Linked DNA regions of Coturnix japonica. The protein of the gene in region 2 purifies or fractionates together with the protein of the main gene of each other region. This does not show direct contact. Links are inferred from orthologs where the notes say so. Each region holds a gene or a part of one and is shown on either strand. Other genes may lie near its edges.

Region 1 (10,929 bases), on a different chromosome or scaffold from region 2:
ATATATGACTTTTAAAATAAGTGGAAACTGTGCCAAAAGCAACCATATTCAACAAAACAGAGATGGCAGACCTAGCCAGCAACTTCATTCTGGCTCTCTGCAGGGCTCCAGTGCACCAGTCCTACTCTTTGGCCAGATCTTAGACACAATTAAATGCAAGGTTTTATTCTTCCAAGATTGCTTTCCTATGCTGCTGAAGACATCAAATTCCATTACATTAGCAGACCAAGAGTTCAGCATTAGCGTCCTTTCGGTTTGTATTGTGAAGACTGCTCACTATCATGCGAGCTGATTGATTCATAAAGCAATTCATTGAGGTCTCAGAATGAAAAAACCTGCTAGAGAGCAGTAGTTCAATGGATGTCTTTTGACAGGTAAAATATATAATATTAAAGACCTTCTGAGGTGACAGAGAACTTGCTCTGCACTTCAAGTACTCCCAGTATCGACCTATGTATGATTTATATGTACAATACCTACAACTTTAACATATTTTTCAAAGTTAATTATTTTAAAAGGTTAAATACCTGAGAACTACTGTCTTTACTTGTGTGCATTTCCACATCAAATGTTATCTGTCCATCTTCTTGAGGTGAAGGGCTAAAGAAAAATGGATTTCATTATGTCACTTTTGTCACACTATACTGTCAGCTACAGAATAATTAGCATTAATGGCATCTCAGCTGAATCACTTCCACATGCACTTCTGCACACTATTCAAATGAGTAACAGACTACAGTCACAATCACTGGAACAAGAATGTCTTCAAGAAACCTTTGCTTTGCTCTTTTATATTTTAAACAATCCCACCTCTTTCAACAGGACTGACTGCCACTGCACAGGATCTGGACTGGAAATACTGAACATAGAGGTAAGAAGATGCCTATTTTCTATTAAAGCAAGAGTTCTGTTTTAAATATTGTATGAAGTGCCTTCAAAGATCGCCTACTATAGCCTGTAATTAAATCAGGCCTAACTAATTTTAAGTATATTTTATTACTGATCAGCTACTTAATGTGTACAGTAGGCAAGACAGTTCAACAAACAACCATCATTCAGAAAATCCAAAGGAGACATAAGCAGATGGATATGTAAAATTATCTATAGAAACCAGTCACAGACCTACAAATCTGGCCTAAAGCCTTCAATGGAAAGGCACAGTGAAGAACTAAGAATACCATACTGCTCACATGTGCCTCGAGGGATTATATTGCCAGGCAAAGATATTCTGCCTTCATAGGAAAAACAGCAGAATATTGAAAGCAGGAAGTACAAATTCCAAGTGTCCTTTTTTCTGCCAAGTCCAGTGATGCGTTTTATTATGTTTGACTGAAAACAAGGATATATATATATATCACATTATTACTAATGAACCAGTAAAGCTAATATTTCATACCCTAAATGGCTTATGACAATGTTCACTTACCTGTCACAGTGGGAACTACCTCTTGAACTGCTCTGTCCTGATTCATGCTGGGCATCCAGAAGGATTTTCTCCATGTCTCCATTATGGATGGAGGATGATGATGGGACATGCTCCAGCCCTCCGTTTTTCCCATTGCCATTATCATTGCTATTGCCATTGCCATTCATCTGCAACTCCACCCAGGAACCTGTAGGGCAAGACAGACATCATTTCATTAAAAGCAGCGAAACTAAAACCAAGTAAAGTTTATCAACTACACACAGCAAAAGAGCCCTGAACATGGTGAATTCAGATAACACCGCTGCTGGATAAAGCTCAAAAACACGTACTGAAGACAAGGCTGATGTGTTTCTTCCTGTTGCACAAAAACCACCCCATAATGTTATGTTGCTTCCTACCTCTGGAGCTAGGCACACTAACTGCCCCCCATCTTCCCAGGTGTTAATACTTTAACAGACCCCATTTCTCTCTATAGTCTGAAGTTTCCATTATCTATGTGGCACTCAATTATACTAATCACTCCCCTTCCCTGTTCTGCTCCTAATATCCTCTTTCAAAGGTTATTCTATTCTCCTAGCCCTGCTTCCATAGAACTCCCCAACCTACAAATTTATACCATCCTTCTTCCTTCCACTTCCAAAGGCCTTCATCTCCAAACCAGCCTCTGCCTTCACATTTACTTATGTTGAAGTCATACAAGAAAAAAGATCCCAAACATGAATGTATCCCCAGAACCACAACGCAGCTGAGGGTTGATGCACCTCTGGGCCCATCAAGTCTGGCCCAGCAGGGCCACCCAGAGCTGCTGAATATCTATATAAGATCTCACACCTCTCTGGGCAACCCATGCTCTCAATAAGGAAATGCTTCCTGAGATTGAGATAGAACTTCTTGTGTTCCTGTTGCACTTTAATGTGCAGGTTAAATAAACAAAAAACCAGCGTTTACCACCATGTTCCCAAGAGCCGTGTTTCAATTTGTACCCTACCACTCAATGTCCTGAGGGGTAGAACAGATCTCCACCCTTCATTCTGTTCCAAATATTTAAATACATTCCCTATCCAACTGCAACTCCAACCATCTCATTAAGATATAAACCAAGAATCAGATGACTGCACAGCCCACAGAAGACCAACTGGCCTGACAGAGCTGACTACTGATAGATTTCCTTTTGCAGTTATCACCTCAATCACTAAATTCCACACTGCATTTATCTATGCTGTAGAATCCTGTCATTTACCTTCATTCTAAGGGTCTGTGTAAGAAAATATCTGCACTTAGGACCTTCTGATGTTTCATTCTGTCAATAAAGCTGTAAGGTCTATAGGCCTTTCTGTTAAACCCTTTTCAATCACGTTCATAACCCTATAAGTGATTTTGCATTTGATGGAGCCACCATTTCAAAGACTTGATTAAAAACTGAGCTGCGAACACAATGAACTACTTGAAACATCATCAGAACATAAAGGACACATCATTCATTCTATCGTCTATAAAGTTCCTATGTCCACCCAAAGAGATCACAGCAGTTTCCTGAACATAAATGCTGTTTCTATTTAATGCTGTACATAAATAATGTGAGAAGATCCTGATTAGGGAGAGCAAAGATCTCTGATTTCTCACAAGTATAACATCTTCAGTGCAACATTATTTCCCATCATCAGAGAGATAAGGATTTCACACATATAACACCAGGCTTCCATGAAATGTAATTGACTCTATCTGAAGGTAAGTGGAAAATAAGGCCTAAAAATACCAACAAAATAGCTGAAATGACTCCTTAAAATTACCTGAGATGGTTTGAAACTTCAATAGTGATTTCTTGTCTTATGAAATGCATCTTTAATGGCTTCATTTGTTTTTACAGCCTAAGCTTTGGCTCTGTTAGTGACACAGGAAGCGTATGACCAAGTGAGTTCACAGATTATCAACCTGTTTTTGTGAACCTGGAATAGTTTATCCATGCTATCAGCTCCTAACACTGGATATTATGCTCTGCTGAGTCCCGGTGGTTTACAGCCTGTTCTCCCCCATCTGTATTCACAAGCAAGGAATCTGGGTGTGCTCAGAGCTTACACACAACCACACAGCGTACACCAACCCTAGGAGATATCGGGCTGCTTCAACCAGCCCTCCAAAGCAATGGGTTTAATGAGGGTTTTATTGGTGAGTGGTGTTCAACCCGGACTGACAAAACTCCTTGTTTATCTAAAATATGTTGCAGCCACACCAGGAAGAGCAGCCCAATTAACTGTGAGTAAAGAGTCCCAACACGCTGAGCGGTGGTTTACATGACCAGCAGCACGTTCCCTGTCTGACCTCACTTTTAATGAATCAAAATACACTCACAGAAGCCTAATCTGACATCAAGCTACAACACGTTACATCCTCCCACTGGGATCTACAGCAGGTTTATGAGCAGCCAGCAAACTTTGTAGAGCTAAACAGAGGGATGGCAGCCTCTGCTTGGGGGCAGCAGCACAAGGAAATACTGCAGAGCAACCAGCCGTGATGTTAATCACCCACATCAGAGTGTTTAATTTACTGTATATCCCATCTGACTGTTAAGCTGGAGATATGGCAGAACTCAGCATTCTCACCTGAGCCTTCAATGTAACCTCCTGAGTTTATTTCCCTTCTGAAATCATGGGATTTCTCCCAAATTATGTGAATTCTGGCTATGTTCTATTGCAAATGAAGAGAGAAACCAACAGCAGTAACTCTGAGAGCCATTTTATACCAGGTCTCTGCTTAATGTGAATTGCACTACCAACCTATTGCACTTCATAAGCAGTTACATCTGCTGACTTCTTTAAGAGTTAAGCTGACATATTTTCTTGCCCAGGCAGAAATAATGAAATTAATTAAACTGTAGGATATTCGCTCCCTATTTCTATTACACTGCAGCCAATTCAGCAGGACCCCAATGCAATCAGTGGGAAGCCACAGCGTGCTGACCAGTCCAGGATCAGCATTTAACAAGGGCTTAAGCAGAAGCATTAAGTCGGTTCATAGGCAAACCCTCCTAAATCCTGTTGCAAAACTGAAGCACCAACAGGCTGGCACCTGGCGTGCAGCCACTATGCACACATAGGCTTCTATTAAATAGAGAAATCCAGAGTGTTTTCAGGTATATGCATGTGCAGAATTAAAAGCAGTGAACAGCTCATTAGTCTGAGCTATGATCAATCTGAATCAACTAAGAAGTCCAACATTAACAAGAGGGGAATAAAGCAAGCTGGTCATGCTCCCATAGGGGAAATTATTAAGCAAGTTTTCCATGACAGAGCTAGATGGGTTCCTACCTGAGGTGGGACTGATTGCTTGTCAATATGTAACAGAGCTCTATAATAATTAAAATGGAGGAAGCATCCCAAAGCATATAAGCTTTTTTTGTTTTCTTTTTGAACCCAACAAAGCAAAGCTTCAGTTATCAGTTTTATTCCCAGGTCTTCAATTCAAAGTGCTTGGAGATCTCTGAATGAAAGGCCTTAAACACGCACAAATGACACACAGAGCAAAATGAATAAGTGTCTAAACTCATTAGCCTGAAAAGGGTCACTGAAAAGCTTATATAATGGCAGCAAATGCACCTATAACACCAAAGCATTGTGGAATGGCTTGAACATCTGAAAGCGGGACTAAATCCATGTGCAGCTGATTGGTTGCACTTGTTTTGTTCACCCAGCACAGATTACCGAGCATTTCCTCTCATACCTTGTGCTCACCACCTCCAGTAATCACATTGATTTTGTTAAGCCTTTATGCACTGACCCAGCAGCAAGATCTACGTGGGCAGATCCAGCCTGGGCTTACAGCATTCATCCCTTGTGGTTCCCATCTTACAGCTTTGCAGAGTAACTTAATGTACCAGCAGAAAACAGCGTGAAAATACTTAAGTACAGAAGTGAAGATGGGAATTTATAAATGAAGCAATGAGTTTGAATCACAGAATCATAGAATGGCCTGGGTTGAAAAGGATGACAGTGATCAGCTGCTTCCAACCCACTGTTATATGCAGGGTCACCAACCAGCAGCCCAGGCTGCCCAGAGCCACATCCAGCCTGGCCTTGAATGCCTGCAGGGATGGGGCATCCACAGCCTCCTTATCACAAGGTGTAACATTACTGTGATGGGCCAGCCGCCGTTTATTCCTTAATGCAATTCACAGCGAGTTACAAGAACTCAACCATCCCTCGCGTTTCACTGTCAGTTTAACTTCATCATAAACCCCAAAGGGATGGTTAATCATTGACATCATTTATTCACCTCTTCACCTGGGGTATCCTTAACAATTACAACCAGACACACATCGAAGCAGCTGTTTCAAACATGGGATAAGTGTCTGTCAGGTGAGCACCGGAGCCCCCATGGATGCTCCTTGTGAGCGTTATTCAGGGAACAAAAGGATGCAGGGAGCAGCTGACACAGATGCCGGATATAGAGGAAAATAGCTCACGTCAGCGGTATCGACTCAGCCACTGAATAAACTCATTCCCACACTCACGCTCCTCCCCCTTATCGTGCTGCATCCCCATCTTAGCTGGTAACACCAACCGTTGAATAAACTCAGCTCTAAACCACAACATAAACCCCCTCAACCCCAGTTTCACCCCATACACCTCAGCCCTTCCATATCAGCCCAGGCCTTGAGTCCCACAGCTCATGGGGGCACCCAATCTCTCCTTCCCCACTTCTAAAGCTCAGCTCCCCCAGCCCAACCCCACTCCCCCTCATTACAGAATGACCCGGGTTGGAAGGGACCTCAAGGATCATGTAGTTCCAACCCCCCTGCCTAGCAGGGCCACCAAACATACACATTTACTAGATCAGGTTGCCCAGGAGACCGCATAGATCCCCATAGAGACCCCATAGACCGCACAGATCCCCATAGAGACCCCATAGACACCTCATAGATCCCCATAGATCCTCATAGAGACCTCATAGATCCCCATAGAGACCCCACAGATCCCCACAGAGACCCCATAGACAGCACAATCCCCATAGAGACCCCATAGACCGCACAGATCCCCATAGAGACCCCATAGACACCTCATAGATCCCCACAGATCCCCATAGAGACCCCATAGATCCCCATAGAGACCCCATAGACCCCCATAGAGACCCCATAGACCCCCATAGAGACCCCTTAGAGACCCCATAGATCCCCAAGATAGACCCCACAGATCAGATTGCCCAGGGCCCTGTCCAACCTGGCCCTGAACACCTCCATGGACGGGGCATCCACAACCTCCCTGGGCAGCCTGTTCCAGGGCCTAACCACTCTCCTAGTGAAGAACTTCCCCCTAACATCCAACCTAAATCTTCCCTCTTTTAACTTAAAACCATTTCCCCGTGTCCTGCTATTGTCAGCCCTTTCCAAGAGTTTAAGGGAAGAGTAAGTTCCCTTCAGGTATTGAAAGGCTGCAATGAGGTCACCCCACAACCTTCTCTTCTCCAGGCTGAACAAACCCAACTCCCTCAGCCTGTCCTCATAGGGGAGGTGCTCTCCCCCTCACGCATCCCCCCCCCCCGGCCCAACCCACTCACTATTGAGGCCCGGTTCGGTTTGCGTCCCTTCAGCCGGTGGGTTGTTGTTATTGTTGTGTTGCGGCGGCTCCTGAGGGCTGGACATGGCGGCTGAGGAGACGGAGGAGCCGCTGGGGTTGGGACAACAACAACAAACCTGGACTCCGCTCCGGGCCCAGCCGCCCCGCCTCCTCGCAATGCGCATGCGCGAGATGCGCTGTTTCCACCCTTCCACCGCCGCGCATGCGCAGACAGCCCCGGGGCGCGTGCAGCGCAGCATGGCGCCCGCCGCCCCCGCGCATGCGCAGTCGGAGCGCCGCCGTGGGGTGGGCGGGAAGAGCGTTCTGTGAGGGGGAAGCCGCGCTGTGTGAGGGGTGCGGGCCTCAGGCATAGAGTGAATGGAAAACAGCGCTGTCACACCTCTAACCCCTCACTGATCGTTTAAAAGAGATAAGTGATTGCATTCCCCGCTATTCCAAGCCTTTTTGGATCGTGTTCTACCATTCAACGCTATCAGCTTACAGTACTTCAGCCACACAGGGCCTAGCTGTGCTTCCTATCCCCATGAAGGTCTGAGGTATTTCCTCATCTCTGAGCACAGTTACTGTGAGGTAAGGAGCCAAACCTATAAAGCCAAACCTGTACAGCCAAACCTATACAGCCAAAGTGTGATTCTCCAACCCCCCCCACACACACTCAGCCATCTTGATTTTGCCTCAAATAATTCCAATAGTAGTTCCACGAAACATAATGAGGTCTCCCGGAATGAATTAACTGAGTTTTTAAAGCTAAAAGGAATGTGTCTGAAATAGCAGTGCTGAACAGCCATGTAAAGCTCACCTCTAAGGCCTAGCCTAAGTCAGCAACGTGCAGCTCGGTTCACTTTAATGGTGGCAGAGTTAAGAGAGAACAGGGCACCTATATAACAAAACTGGACTTGTTCTTACCTATACAAAGTGAAATTGCACCCATTTCCTCTCAATATGAAAATGAGAGACAACCTCAGGCTATTTATGCACCTACTGTTGTGCTGTGAACAAGAATAACACTGAGTTTCCAGGGAAAATAGACCTGAAGATGCAATGAAATACTTAAAATGCAGTGAAATACAGGTGCTGACATGTACCTTACCTTGCTGAGGTTAATTCAGTTACAAGAGTAACTTCTGCATCAATTATGTATTCTAAGCAGTTAACATGAAACAACCATATATAGAACAGACGGTTCTTCCAAATCACTTGACTTTTAAGATAACAGTCAATATCATCTTGAATATTGAGCATATAAATGCCTGAAGGCAGACCCAGTTCCCATAGATACTTTGTATTGCAGATAGAAGAAATTTACTAGGCTTATTCTCCTTCTAATCTCCTTTCTCATCAGGACTCTCTTGGAGAATGATCCAGCAAGACTGACTTCACCGCAGATGATTTAACTCGCCTTCATTTCTCAATACATCGGTTTTACGACCTTCATTCCATGTGACATCACCTCAACTCCAAGGTCAGTTCTGAGGCCTAAAGTATCTCACATGGAACACTGTAACCAATCCCATCCCACACAAATATACACAGCGTTTTACTTCCCAACAGCACTAATGGGCCCTTCACATAAAACCATTCCCATCAGCAGCCTTGAGAATATAATTAGGGGCAGGGGATCATTGTTTTGTGTGATGGTATCGCTGCTGCTATCAGAGACTGAAACAAATTCAAACAGACCCATTTACATTAATGTTTTCCCTATCTCCTCATTACTCAGCAAAGATGTTTTATCAGGGCTTTATCAGGACTAGGGTGTGTACAACTCTCATAGTTATCCCAGTTTGGATTATTAGCAAATATTTTTCTTCATTTTCTCATCTATGCTACGTTGAATAGCATCCAAATACTGATGTGTGGACATTATAAAGCTGCCTTACACGATGCTGCTCTTTCCTACCAAACGGACTGTATATATGCTTACGTATCCATACTAAATCTTGTAAAAGACCTGGAAAAGGTGGCAGCAATTTAGGCATTCTAATAAAACATCCCTCCACAGGTAGGAAGGCTATGGATGTGTCCTAGATTAGAGCCAGAAAAATAAGCTACTTGTGATGCTGAACAGAGCCCCATCCCACTTCGCAATCCTAACAATCCCAGGTTAACATCAAGCATCATTTGTCATCCCCATCATTCAGGAAGCGTTTGCCATAATGCTCGTGGCATGAATATTTATCAGCAAAGTGGGACTATTAACATTTCTGAGTCAGACAAATTAATCGAGATTACAGAGTGAGTCAATGCAGAGCCAGAAATAGCATTCAGAAGTCCTGACTTTCAGACCTGTTCTCTAACCACTACACGGGTTCCTTCAGGCTGTTGAATGACGTAATTCATGCTTATAAACTAATTGAATCCTCAGATGGAAAATGCTATGACAGTAGTTAAGGTGGAGGGACAAAAAGCCACGTGATCATAGAAGAGGAACAGCGGCTGTAAACATCTGGGAAAGGTCTTTTGTGCAAGAAAAAGGGTTTTTTTTACAGAAAGCCTATCAGTCAATTCAAGTCAAACACATCAAGCTACCTGATTGTCTCCTAAGAGCTGCCAAACTAAGTGCAGTTTTATGCTCCCAGCTCCAAGGTGTTTTTTGTCCACCCACCTCTTTGGTAACATTTTGCCTCCTAGTGGAGGATACAAATATAGAAACACCTGCTTTTTTCTCAAATACAGATGTATTGTTTGCAAAAGGCAGAGATTGTTAGAATTCAAAGGTAGACCGTACAGAAAATCCATGCTGCTTCTTGGTTCTGAGCTGTATCGCACTAGAAAGAAGCACCTGCTGTTTCTATTCCAGCCACTACTGTGACTTCTACCGTTAAGTCCTTTCTCTGCAAACCCAAACCTTCTATACCAAGTTAAATAAGGCATTTGCTGTGAGCGAACAATAGAAACTATTCAAGACACCGGTAGTCATTACACAGCAACCTCAGTCCCAGCACACCTCTCCCCACCTCAATTCTCTACATCAATAGTCCAGCTTGCAACTGCTAATTATGTGGGAAAGGGCAAAAGGAAACACCTCAGTCTAAGTCAGAAGTTATGGCGGGAATGCCAGAGATGAAGACACAAAATCCAGTGCACAGGAAACTACTGCTTCTAGCTATGTCACCCCTCTGACTGCCTAATTCCAGAGCAGGGAACAATAAATCAGCCTTCCAACAGGCAGCAGCCACTCTCCAGGAGGACAAAGGTACCAATATCTGCTCATCAACTCCAGCATTTCCAAGGTAGGCTGAGAAAAAAAGGAGAAATATATTTAAATTTAGGACAACTGAGTGGAATCGACAGCCCTGCCCCAACAGAACATTGAGAAAGAAGTAGGATGTTGCCACATTCAGCACATCTGATGGCGTTAGCTACTCCTCACCAAAAAAGCAGCAAAGGGACCTCAGCCACAGAGCTTGTCTGCACCTCAGCCCTGTACCAGTCAGATAATAACAGGCTGCAAATGAATTTGCTGGCAGTATCACTGGTCTGAAGTAAGGTTGCCGCTCTGCAAATATTAACTACCAAAGTGGCAGCTGTGAGTTATGTGGTAGTATCAAAGTCTTCAAGATGGACAGTAGGGAAGGGATCAGAACTTCCGTGTTCAGTTCAGTATTTAAGGGTTGAGAACTGAACAGCTGCACTGGTTGCACTGGGAACGGAGAGAAAGCACTAGAACAGAGCAGCTGCTTTCATCTAACTGTACATGATGGAGGAGGGCAGGATTGCCTTAACACCCACCCACCCTGTCTGGCAAGCTCTCCAGGCTAAGACCCAGAAATAACAACACAGAACCTAGCAAGAAGGTGTACTACTCAACATGCAGTAAGAAGGATGAGTAATTTCAAAAACGCCTGTAAGTAGAGAAAAGGGATGGGAAGAAAGATAAAAAGCAACCTGACAAGATGTATTCTATGCATACTTTTATTAATAAAATATAAG
Region 2 (10,433 bases):
GAAGAAAACACACAAAAAAACCCCAAATCCAATACTTTGGATTACTAAGACACCAAAATGTGTCACTCTCCTTCCAAAACCACTATATTTTCATTGCTGTTTTACTGAACAAAGATGGTTGTTGTTACCACTTGATAGATTTTATTCCTGTGCAAGGGACTTTTGCTAGTGCATTAACCTAAGTACTGCTTTTTACATACTCTGTAGGATAATTAGATGCATACAAACCAACCGCCTTGACTGTGTAAAGAAAACTAGACTGGAGTTTTCTACACATCAGTGATGACACCGCATACAGCTCAAACTTTATATCCAACGCCAAGAAGCAGCTGGCAATTCTATCTTTCATTTCTGCTATGAGTTCAGGTGGAAGGTTCTTGAATTTATCTGTTGTGTCACTTAGGCTGGACTGTAAAACATCACAACATCTATTTCAGATGGAGGAAGGGATGAGAATCTTTCAGATGCAGTTCATTGCCACAAAAGGAAAAAAGAAAAAGCAAACCTGTCTTTCTAATCCATTCTTAATGAAGCTTAAACAGCTTTTGAAACAAGTAACTGTAGGCCTGATCATAAGATGTTATGCTGCAGACCAAATTAAAATGCTACTGTATGCATGCATGTATATCTGCATACATTTATATACACATATACACATAAATAAAAAAGGAAGCACCCATATTTTTTCTTACTGGTAAATGCTCAACGTTTTCTTTTATCTAGATATTAACATAGTTTGCTGGGTATAACACCCTATCAAGGGACATGTAAGGTGTTTCTCATTTTCTTGCCATTAAAGCCATACATATGGCTAGCATTTAAAAACATGCAGTGCCACCGATTAACAGAGTAAAACAATTATTAGGTACAATATCAGCTCTAAGAAATGCATAATATATTTAAATTTAAAATGTATTTTACCCATTTGTGCAGATAATTAATACAATCCACTACTTCATAGGAATTCTTCTTAAAAAAATCAGCACAAATTCACAGGAAATAACTGTTTAAGGAATTCCATAGCAGCATATGGAGCGAGTCACTGGGTGAAACTCTTCTTTATGAACACATTAGGAAAGTTGGCATTCAGTTCTAGGACAACTCTGTTATCGATCTGTGAACAGAAGGACACATCGAGTAAAGAGAGATCTTTACAAGACTCCAGCAGTTTTCTTAAAGAAGCTGGGCTTACCATCCTCGTCCCTGTTTGAAAACAAAAAAAAAGAGAAAGAAAAAAAAATGCAAAGTTAAAAAAGAACAGTTGTTTGTTTTAAAGCTGCTAATACTGCACGAAAAGAATGCTAGTAGTACAATGTTTGTTTACATTATTTCAATTAGATTTCAAATGAAGAACTTCTCAGTGGCAGTCTTTGTACAATGTTTGCCTTTAAGAAGCCTGCTGTGTTTTCCTAACTCAGCTATTCAATTAGATTGTTTGCTTCTTAGAAGAAACTTTACAACTTCAAGAGAAATTTCTAGTTACAGAAGCTGACCAAAGTACCCAAGGCTACAAGACCCAGTGACCAGATCCCAGGCTTTGGCCTGAGGAAAATACTGTGCGACACTCATGTTCTTGTGACTTTCCTGCTGGCTGCAATGACTGGCACAACACACGCTATTATAGGCTCTTCCAATCCCAAATACATCAGCAAGGCTTCTAGGACTCTGGAGCGGCTATATGTATTACACCCACATCATGTAGGAACAGATCTCAAAAAGACTACCACTGTTCTCTTACATCTGAAAGTCATTCCTCCTGTTTATTTCCGTAGAAACTACAACAGATACAATAACGTTACTTTTAGAAGAAAAAAAATAATAATCAGCAACAATGCATCCACACATCCACTGTAGCTGACTGAAATCCAGTCAGTGCAGAACATGATTCAGCTGACAAGTCATTGAAGTATGACTCAGTTGCCTGAAGTGAAGTGCCTGGTGCTCCCTTGGGGCCACGCAGACACCCACACAGACCCAGCAGACAGGCCACAGGACTGACAGGAGACCCACGCCTTACTGCAGGTACATCCGACCCAAGGTCTGGCACAGCTCATTTTGCAGCCCACCCCACTGCTGTCACACTATTGTGGTGGTGGCTCTTCCACATCAAGCAACTCAGCCTGGCCCCAGATGCATAACCATTGTTCAGCAACAACCAAACACTGCTGTGTGATTGACACTATCTAGGCTGACCAAGGAAGGGCACAGAGCAACGCTGGCTCAAGTTATAGCAAATAATTTTATGCATTTTGACACATTGGCTATGCACAGTCCTGCGAACAGCAGGAACAGGCAGGAGTGCTTTCTGTATTGATAAAGGAATGTAAGAACAAGTTTCAAGATTGCAAAAAAAAATCATCAAATTTTTGGTATACTTGTGACTCCACCTTCAGTCACCACAGTGACTGTCATCACAGTGGTCAGGTGGTTGATACAGCAGTTCCATTAGCACACACATAAATTTTGTTATATTCTTTATTTACATCCCTTAATCATAATTGCACCACAGTATCACTGTCCCATCAGAAGAAACTGCTCTAACGTTTCAGCTGAAACTCCAAGAAAAAAACTACACTACCTTCCTTCTACCAAGCCTAAAATTGCTACTGCATTAGCATCTTCATTTAAAACTAGTTTTGTTTGACCATCTCAGCTTTTAAAATTAAAAATCCAAATGCTTCTACAAAATGCTATTCAATTACATAGTTGATAGTTAGATAGCCTCGATAGCAGCTACTACTTACAGCAATGCAACTAAGCAGCTGATACAGCATACATTTAAAGCTATTGGCATTGCCAATTTAGGTGGTCTTGACATGAGGTTTCTGTTACAAGTTTTATAACACTGGACAATGTACTGCAACAATATAAAAATGTCAGACAGTCATAGCTGGATCACTCTACATTCCTCAAGTGAACAAAAAGCAGGGGAAATAATACAGTTCACCATGTCTATTGGTCTATCAGGAGAAGATGCAGGCAGAGAAGCAGAAGATACTCGTAAACGGGCAGCTCAGTACGTAATGGGTAAAAGAAATATCAGAACTAGAAAACCCAAGAAACACACTTGAAGTACATCAGGTATGGTGTACTTCCATCATACATCTTCCAAACTGTATGATATATACAGTGGATACGAAACCAAACCATGGCTTTAACAGAGCTTTAAGTAACTTTCTTTAGTATGCTTTACACACAATTCAAACAGAGCTACCCATCAAACAATGCTTCATGTGGGCCAATAATTTTTAATGTAAGTTCCCCTGCTGCATGCACCTCTAACCTAGCAGCAATGCTTGTACACCCTCAATACATGCATGTATAAGCCAGGCATTTCTTTGTTGTTTTCCTACTGCTTCCAAAATAGCTGGGTTGCTCCTTCACACACACTGTATCACCTTGTACTGATTGATTGCTTATAGCTGAGGAACAAAAGGTTGTATTCTGCTAAGCATTCCTCTGAAGGAAGAAAGCAAATTGTAGGAGTAGAGAGATTTTTGGTAACAACTTGTGGATAATTCAACTAGGTATCCTCTAGAGAGCACCCTGCTGAACACAACACGCAGGTTTATCAGGAAAGGCTGACTACAAACCCACTTGACCCAGTCGTGCCAGTAGGCACCTAGGGGATGGAACAGAATTCCTCTCCATGTTCAGATTTTTCTACTAAACACCAACGAGATGTTAAACTGAATTCAAATGTGAATTCAGTTGTTAAAGGAGAAGCGTGGCAATACCCCTTCAGTGCTGGCAGAGAGGCAGCAGAACTAGCAGACTTATCTGCAGGCCTAACACAACTGAGCTATTCATTCCACAGCCTTTGGTACAGTGAAAAGGTCAGACCAATTTGTGGGCAGACACAATTCCATTGTAATAGCATGTATGTGGGTGGTCAGGAGAACATACATGTTTATGAAAGACTGTATTCACTATGCCTTTTGGAAACGTTTCATGTCTGAACAGTGAAATGTATATCCCTGATAGTCTTGCTACAAAACAGATTCCCTTAACCACAGGCAAAAACATACATTACCACCTGAAAACTTATGCATTAATCCAAAATAATATTTACTAAGTGGATGTAAGTTTCCATCTGTTCATTCTCCTTCCATGTTGGAGAGAAGGTGGCTTTCTCAATTATAGACGAGTAAAACTATGTCATGGTAAAAGAGCATTTACTATCTATACTGTAGTGACAACTTGCAGCCATATGGTAAATTTTGTACTGAGAAATACTGGTAAGCCTTAAGTTTGCCTGTAACATTTTGAGTAGAAGGCACTGTTTCTCTGGAGCATCACTTCCAACCCAAATGTACTACTTTCTCAGAAGTTATTTAATACTGAAAATAGGCAATGCAGCTACTTTATCTTTCATAATTTAAATCTTTGTTTTTCAACCAACCCTGTGAAAATAAGTCAAGATGAAGATGGAGAAATTTTCCCTACATCAACGTCAAGGCTACCATCATCGTCACAGACTGTTCCTTTTAAAGATAACCTCACATTCCACTGCAGAAAGAATAAAACTACAACTCCCAAAGAGTCCAATGTATATTTAATTTGGATTTCCCATAATATTTTTAGCTATTGACACCGCAGAGAATTAGAAATCTAAGATTTGATGCATTCTCTGCACCTCATCACTTCTTTCTCACCTCAGCGATAATTCCATTTAAAGTTTTGTTATTAATTACATTTTTTCTCTTGAAAGACAAATTCAATTCCTGTTAAAAGTGAGAAAGATTGTCAATGCTGCTTGGTGTACCTGCACTGTGCAAAAGCAGGAATCTGTTTATTAACTATAAATATACTTAGTCACACTTCATAGAAATAAAACAAAAGCAGGAACAAGAAGAAGAGACTGGATCTTCTGAGAGCAAAATCAAAAGATGTCCATTAAATGTACTAATATAATGAAACTAAAAGTTACTGGAACAAATCCGCGCGATTCTCAGCTTAAGATTGTTTAATACTAAACAATCAAATTACACAGTCAGGAGAATCCAAAGAATTTACATGTCAGAAAACCGTTGCAGTTAATACTTTTCTCCCATTTTCTCATGAGCTAAGCCATACTTTCATACAAATACATAAATATATACAAATACATCTATAAGGCAGAAGGTTGACCACATGGATTTCTTTTATAACTCACAGGCTTCTGAGAACAGTAAAATATATACCAGTATTCCCATATTTTCTTACCCAATATATCTAGCTGTCGTAAATGAGCACAGTTAGCTGCAAGCTCTTCGATGTCTGTGTCACACACAGACCTGTTGGCCGTGAGAAAGAGCTTTTGCAAGTTCGGAAGTTTACGTGCGAGGTTTGTGAAGCAGCCTGTACTGCTCTGTAACGTGGGGCACCAGCCGAGATCAAGTTCTTCCAAAAGCTGGCAGCCTGAAGCCAACTCTGCTATTCCATTTTCAGTTATGTTTTTACATCTCCACAGATCCAGACTGCGGAGCTTTTTGCACTTTGCTCCCATCATGCTTGCTATAAGATCATAGTCTTCAATCTGCAAGGAAAATAAACACTTTGTCATCTATACTGCCCTTCCAGACACACACAGGTGTTTCAAGATTCACTTGTTAACACATCTACAGAAACATTTAAGCATTCATTGCTTCTAAAGAGCTCCAAGAATTACTCTCTGTACATTGAGGTCTACTCCTACATAAAACAAAAATAAAGTTCCTATTTACTCCCAAACATACCTGATTTTATATTCACTTGACACCGAGGATCAGTGAAAATGCAGTTAGAAGTTTATTTTCTTTGAAAACCTTCTCCTTTTCTTCAAGAGATTATTAGAATTGTATTTATGACAACAGGAATGGCAACTCTAAGTGTATGTGCATTAAAGAGGACACTAGTTTCCATTCTAGGCTGACCATCTGCTACACTTCATTATGGAAGCTTTACTATTTACCTCAGACAAGCCAAAGGGGCTCAAAGTACCCCAACTCCACAGGTAGAAGGAATGAAATACACTATCAAAAATCATAGGAAGACTAGAGTTGTTGGAAAAATAATGCGCTGCCTTTCTCCTCTGGCCATGAGTCAAAGTTGGGAAGGCTGAGTCAATTCTGCTTTGTCACTTCTGAAACTGCAGGGAAGTTTACCTGATGAGTTACCAGATGTATTTATCACCAGAGACAGAAAGTTAAGTCCCAGTGCATACAACCCTGACTGACATGCAGATTCAACAAAGTTTAGATGAGCTCTGTGCAGGATTTCCAAGGCCCGTATTTTCTGCCTTTAATTCAGTGTGTGTGTGCCCAGGATGTCTACATGACTCAAAGAGCTTTCGTTGAAAACATTCTTGTGTTTATGACTGTAGTGTCACACACAGGTGTTGGCCTGCTATGAAACACAGCACTCTAGCTACTCACCATGACGCAGCTGCCCAAGCTGAGGTGTTGAAGCTCTGAGCAGAAGTTCAGGATACTGAGCAGGGCTGTTTGCTGCCACCAGAGAACGCATCAGAAGGAAATATGGAACGTGAAACAAAGAGAAGAGGTCAATTAAGCATTAAAGGCTGTCACTGCATTTCCTGAAACACAGCTCAAAACTCTGTTACAGACACCACAAATGCCACTTAATGAGTCCCCAGGTAATCTGCCCATTGATTGGCTTAAAGTAACAGTAATCATTACAAACCTTTACACAAGTCACTTTGGATGTGGTTTTGAATTGCCCTGAAGATACCTATACACTCATGACCTATCAGCTCATTTCCCCCAGGAAAGATACAGAAGAATAAGTGTGGCAAGTTCAAACAGCAGGCGAGGCCAGACCAAAAACACAGAGGGCTGGTGACACACCAGCAGAACAGCAGAGCTCTGACATTCTCCCATCAGCCGTAGCCTGATGGAACTGCCAATAGAGCAGCACAGCATTGGGACCGAGCTGGTGACTTTAATGTCAAAGGAGTCTCCGTGCTGACAGGGATGCTGACAACCATTGAGCACCTGTCACTACCAGCATGCAGGCTGAAACAGATATAATGTGTACTTTACAGTCATGTTTCTGCCATTTATCACAGCCATTCTTTTCAGAAAGTACTGCACATTACTCAGCCTGAAATTATACTGGAACGCAGATGTATCTTACAAAATGTTAAATACGTGGCTATTCTGTTCTATGACAAGAGAAACTTCGTGGTATTTTATTTGTGTTTCTAAGACAGAGAAAAGACTCCTCTGCATTGTCTGTAGCCATATTCTGTTTTGTGGCTTGAAATACACTCAAGAGCAAAGAAGGACACAGCCTGGGATTCAAAACAGAAATATCTGTGCATCATACTTCAAACATCTACCACTTCATTCATTTTCTGTAAGCCTGAAAACTGCAGTAAGTTCCGTAACGTATCAATAACTAAAGTCTGTGGATGTATATAGGATACACAACAGTGTCTCACATACACAAAAAAATAAGCAGTATACAAAGGACAAGATGAATTGCTAATGCTTAGAACTCCTACAGGAATACCAGCAAATAATTCGTAGACATGCAAACTATAAAATCTATCTATCTATATGTGCTAATATAAAGTTGCTTGTTTTCACAGACTTTATGGTAAAATGCTTCACTGAATTTTTTCAGTCATTATATCCCAATGAAATGCAGCAGGAACATTATCTTTTCTTATGGTACTGTGAAGAACTACATGATTCCTTGCACTGAAACACTGCCAGATGCAGAACAGAGACAGTGGGTAGAGTATTCATGGAGACCATTCCAGACATCTAATTTAAGCACCTCAAGGGAGCAATTAGAAACACCCAACACTTAACACGGATGGAACTTCAGCTGCCAGCCTGGCCTTCCGAGATTTGATTTCCCAAAAGGAGCCTGAAGGTTGAGGGTACAAACAAGCCTTCCCCACAGATATCTTTGCGGAGGTCTTACAAAGCAACTGTCTGCTTGCACAATTGACTTTCATTTACGTTTTTAAAGAGAAGGGTAGACTAGGGAATTAAACATAAAAGCATTAAGAAGTCATTATAAAAGAGGTAACACTTAGGAGCGCTTTAAAGCTAGTTAATGTGTATATATCCAATATGTTTTAACTAAAGTACGTATTAAGTAAGCACTTTATTTGGAGCATTAAAACTGAATAAACGAGCAACTCCAATGGAGTGAGACATCCTTTATTCTTTACTTCCCTGAAAGCTATGAGCTTTAGAACCCATTCAGACTTCCAAATTAAATAAATCCTCACATCTCTCTATAAATCTTAAGTATCAGAGCTAAATACACCAGTCTCTTAACATCCAATGCTAAGCAGGTTTTCTGACTTTACAATAAAACTGAATAACTCAATGTATTTGACCACGGTTGGTTTTTTTTTCCTGCAATAGTTTCTACAATGGAATTTAAACAATGGCCTGAAAGGTCAGAAAGCAGCAATACTTTTCCTTAATTGACGTAATTCAGAAGCATACAGATACTCTGAGCAGACTGTAGAATGCAAGATCTATTCCATAATGACACTCCTTCAGGGAAGAGTGAAATAGGTAAGGAGATCAATATTCATAGTGGGCTTGATCACAAAAGTAACCTGATGTGTTAACTTGAACGGGAATTTGGTGACTCTCTCAGAATACTTTAGTCCAGCGGAGTCCTTCCTTTATTATATGCACTGAGTCCACATTTTAGAGGTCTCTTCACAATTTGTATTAGCTAAAGTATTACCTTAAACAAAACAAAACAGCGAAAGAACAACAGGAAGAAGATAAGCAGTAGAAATGTGAGTAATAAAAAAGCATTGTGGTAGAACACCACAGCATACCATAGCACAGCCTGCCAAATCTAGCCCAAGAGTAAACAGTAAGTTACTCGACAGTAGCTATACTCATTGCAGGTTAATTCCCCTTCTGGAGTGCATGCATGCCTCCACACAAGAAAACAGACTTTCTTCAGAAGCTGTGTCTGTTCTTCAGTAACTGGAGGCAGTTTCTGCGTATGTCAAAAGAAAAAAAGAAAAAGAAAAAAAAATAAAAAATATATATATATATATCAACCACCTTTCTTTGAATATGCTTAGTTGAGCCCCAGTCAGTTGTGAATACAGGTGGTAAAGGACATCAAAATAGCAGGTAAGAATGGCAGCTCACAGAATCCATACGCACTGCATATAAAGAACTACCATTGTAATAACATGACCGTTTCAAGCCATCTGTCTGTACAGTTCATCTCTCTGACTTGTCTTGAACACAAGATGAGTGATTACACTCCTATGTAAGCAGAGAAGAGTGAGGCAATCACCTGACCTTGAAGCTGTAAGACAGGCCAAACCTCAGATGTCAGAGCTCATTATAAGAGGAGCAGAGGTCACCTAAATTCTGGACCAGCGAGCTTCAACTAGAGAGAATCCAATTTCACTTTCTCAGCCAAGCAGAGGCTGTCAAATCAAAGACTCCCCACATAACACTTCATTTGTGAGCTTAGTAGCCAAGATATGTATAGTTTGAAGACTTTCTAAGGATTCCCTGCAGCAAAGGTAAGAGCTGGCTTTGTACCTGCTCTCCCTCATGCATGCTGAAACTGCAGAAGGAAAACAGTAGATGCCTCAGTAGTCCAAATTTCTTCTGCCATCCAATCAAAGCAATAACTGGTGAACAGTCAATTTTCATAAGATGGCACAAACAGCAGGAAGAGCAGTTCTAAGCAGCCAAATAGAATCCTATTATCCATTTCCAGGAATGGTTTTCAGATGATGAAACTGCATGCAGGTGAAGCCATGCACAAATTGCTTGAAGAGAGAAGACTGGCATCGAGCTGCACAGAAGGCTGACATGATACTGCTGTTAAACACAGCCTTGTAGAACAAATTACAGAAATATTTTAGGGCACAACAGTTAGTCCTAAGCCTCAGAAACTGGAAGGAGACACCCTGAAGAGTCTCTGAAGTCTTTAAGAACAGGCTAGACGAGCATGTCAGAAATGACATCAACAGAGATGATCCTGCTTTGGACAAGAAGAGAGAGATTACCTTTTGAAATCCTAACTCATTCCACACGAGACAGGAGAGTTCTGTCCAAACATGAATAAGTCTTTCATTCGGTAACACAGCTGGCCTGGAACACATTTCTGTGCTGTGTATACAGCAATTAAATAGCTGATACTGGACTAATTTCCATCCTACCTGCCTTTGTGAAGACCTTAAACATCACACGTACATTCTGACTTGCAAGTTGCCAGAGTGCAGCTGGCTTGAATAAACTGTGGAGAAATTGAATACTGGTATGAAGAGTAATACACCTAGTGAGGCTGAATCCTGCTGCCATTTTTTCAGGGCTTTTTGCATTCATGATCCAGCCAGAAGTGCAAATTATTTCTGATGTTGGTATGATAAGGAAAGCATCCAACAGACATCCTGAGATTAATATCCTTTCAAACAAAAAAGCCCCTTCTGTCTGTGCTAC

Evidence for each region.
Region 1: the proteins of FBXL4 (region 2) and BNIP3L purify together in Homo sapiens (affinity purification with western blotting; 4 studies listed by BioGRID, with this or other methods). This does not show direct contact. The link is inferred for Coturnix japonica from reciprocal best matches to the Homo sapiens genes FBXL4 and BNIP3L.

Annotation. Positions count from the first base shown.
Region 1 is NC_029537.1:1,741,170-1,752,098, forward strand, and holds the start of BNIP3L (BCL2/adenovirus E1B 19 kDa protein-interacting protein 3-like), read right to left. Parts: upstream 7,167-10,929; 5' UTR 7,161-7,166; coding exon 6,977-7,160; intron 1,614-6,976; coding exon 1,427-1,613; intron 601-1,426; coding exon 528-600; intron 1-527.
Region 2 is NC_029518.1:65,225,540-65,235,972, reverse strand, and holds part of FBXL4 (F-box/LRR-repeat protein 4), read right to left. Parts: intron 6,468-10,433; coding exon 6,396-6,467; intron 5,519-6,395; coding exon 5,206-5,518; intron 1,204-5,205; coding exon 1,040-1,203; 3' UTR 1-1,039. UniProt on the Homo sapiens protein: Substrate-recognition component of the mitochondria-localized SCF-FBXL4 ubiquitin E3 ligase complex that plays a role in the restriction of mitophagy by controlling the degradation of BNIP3 and NIX mitophagy receptors.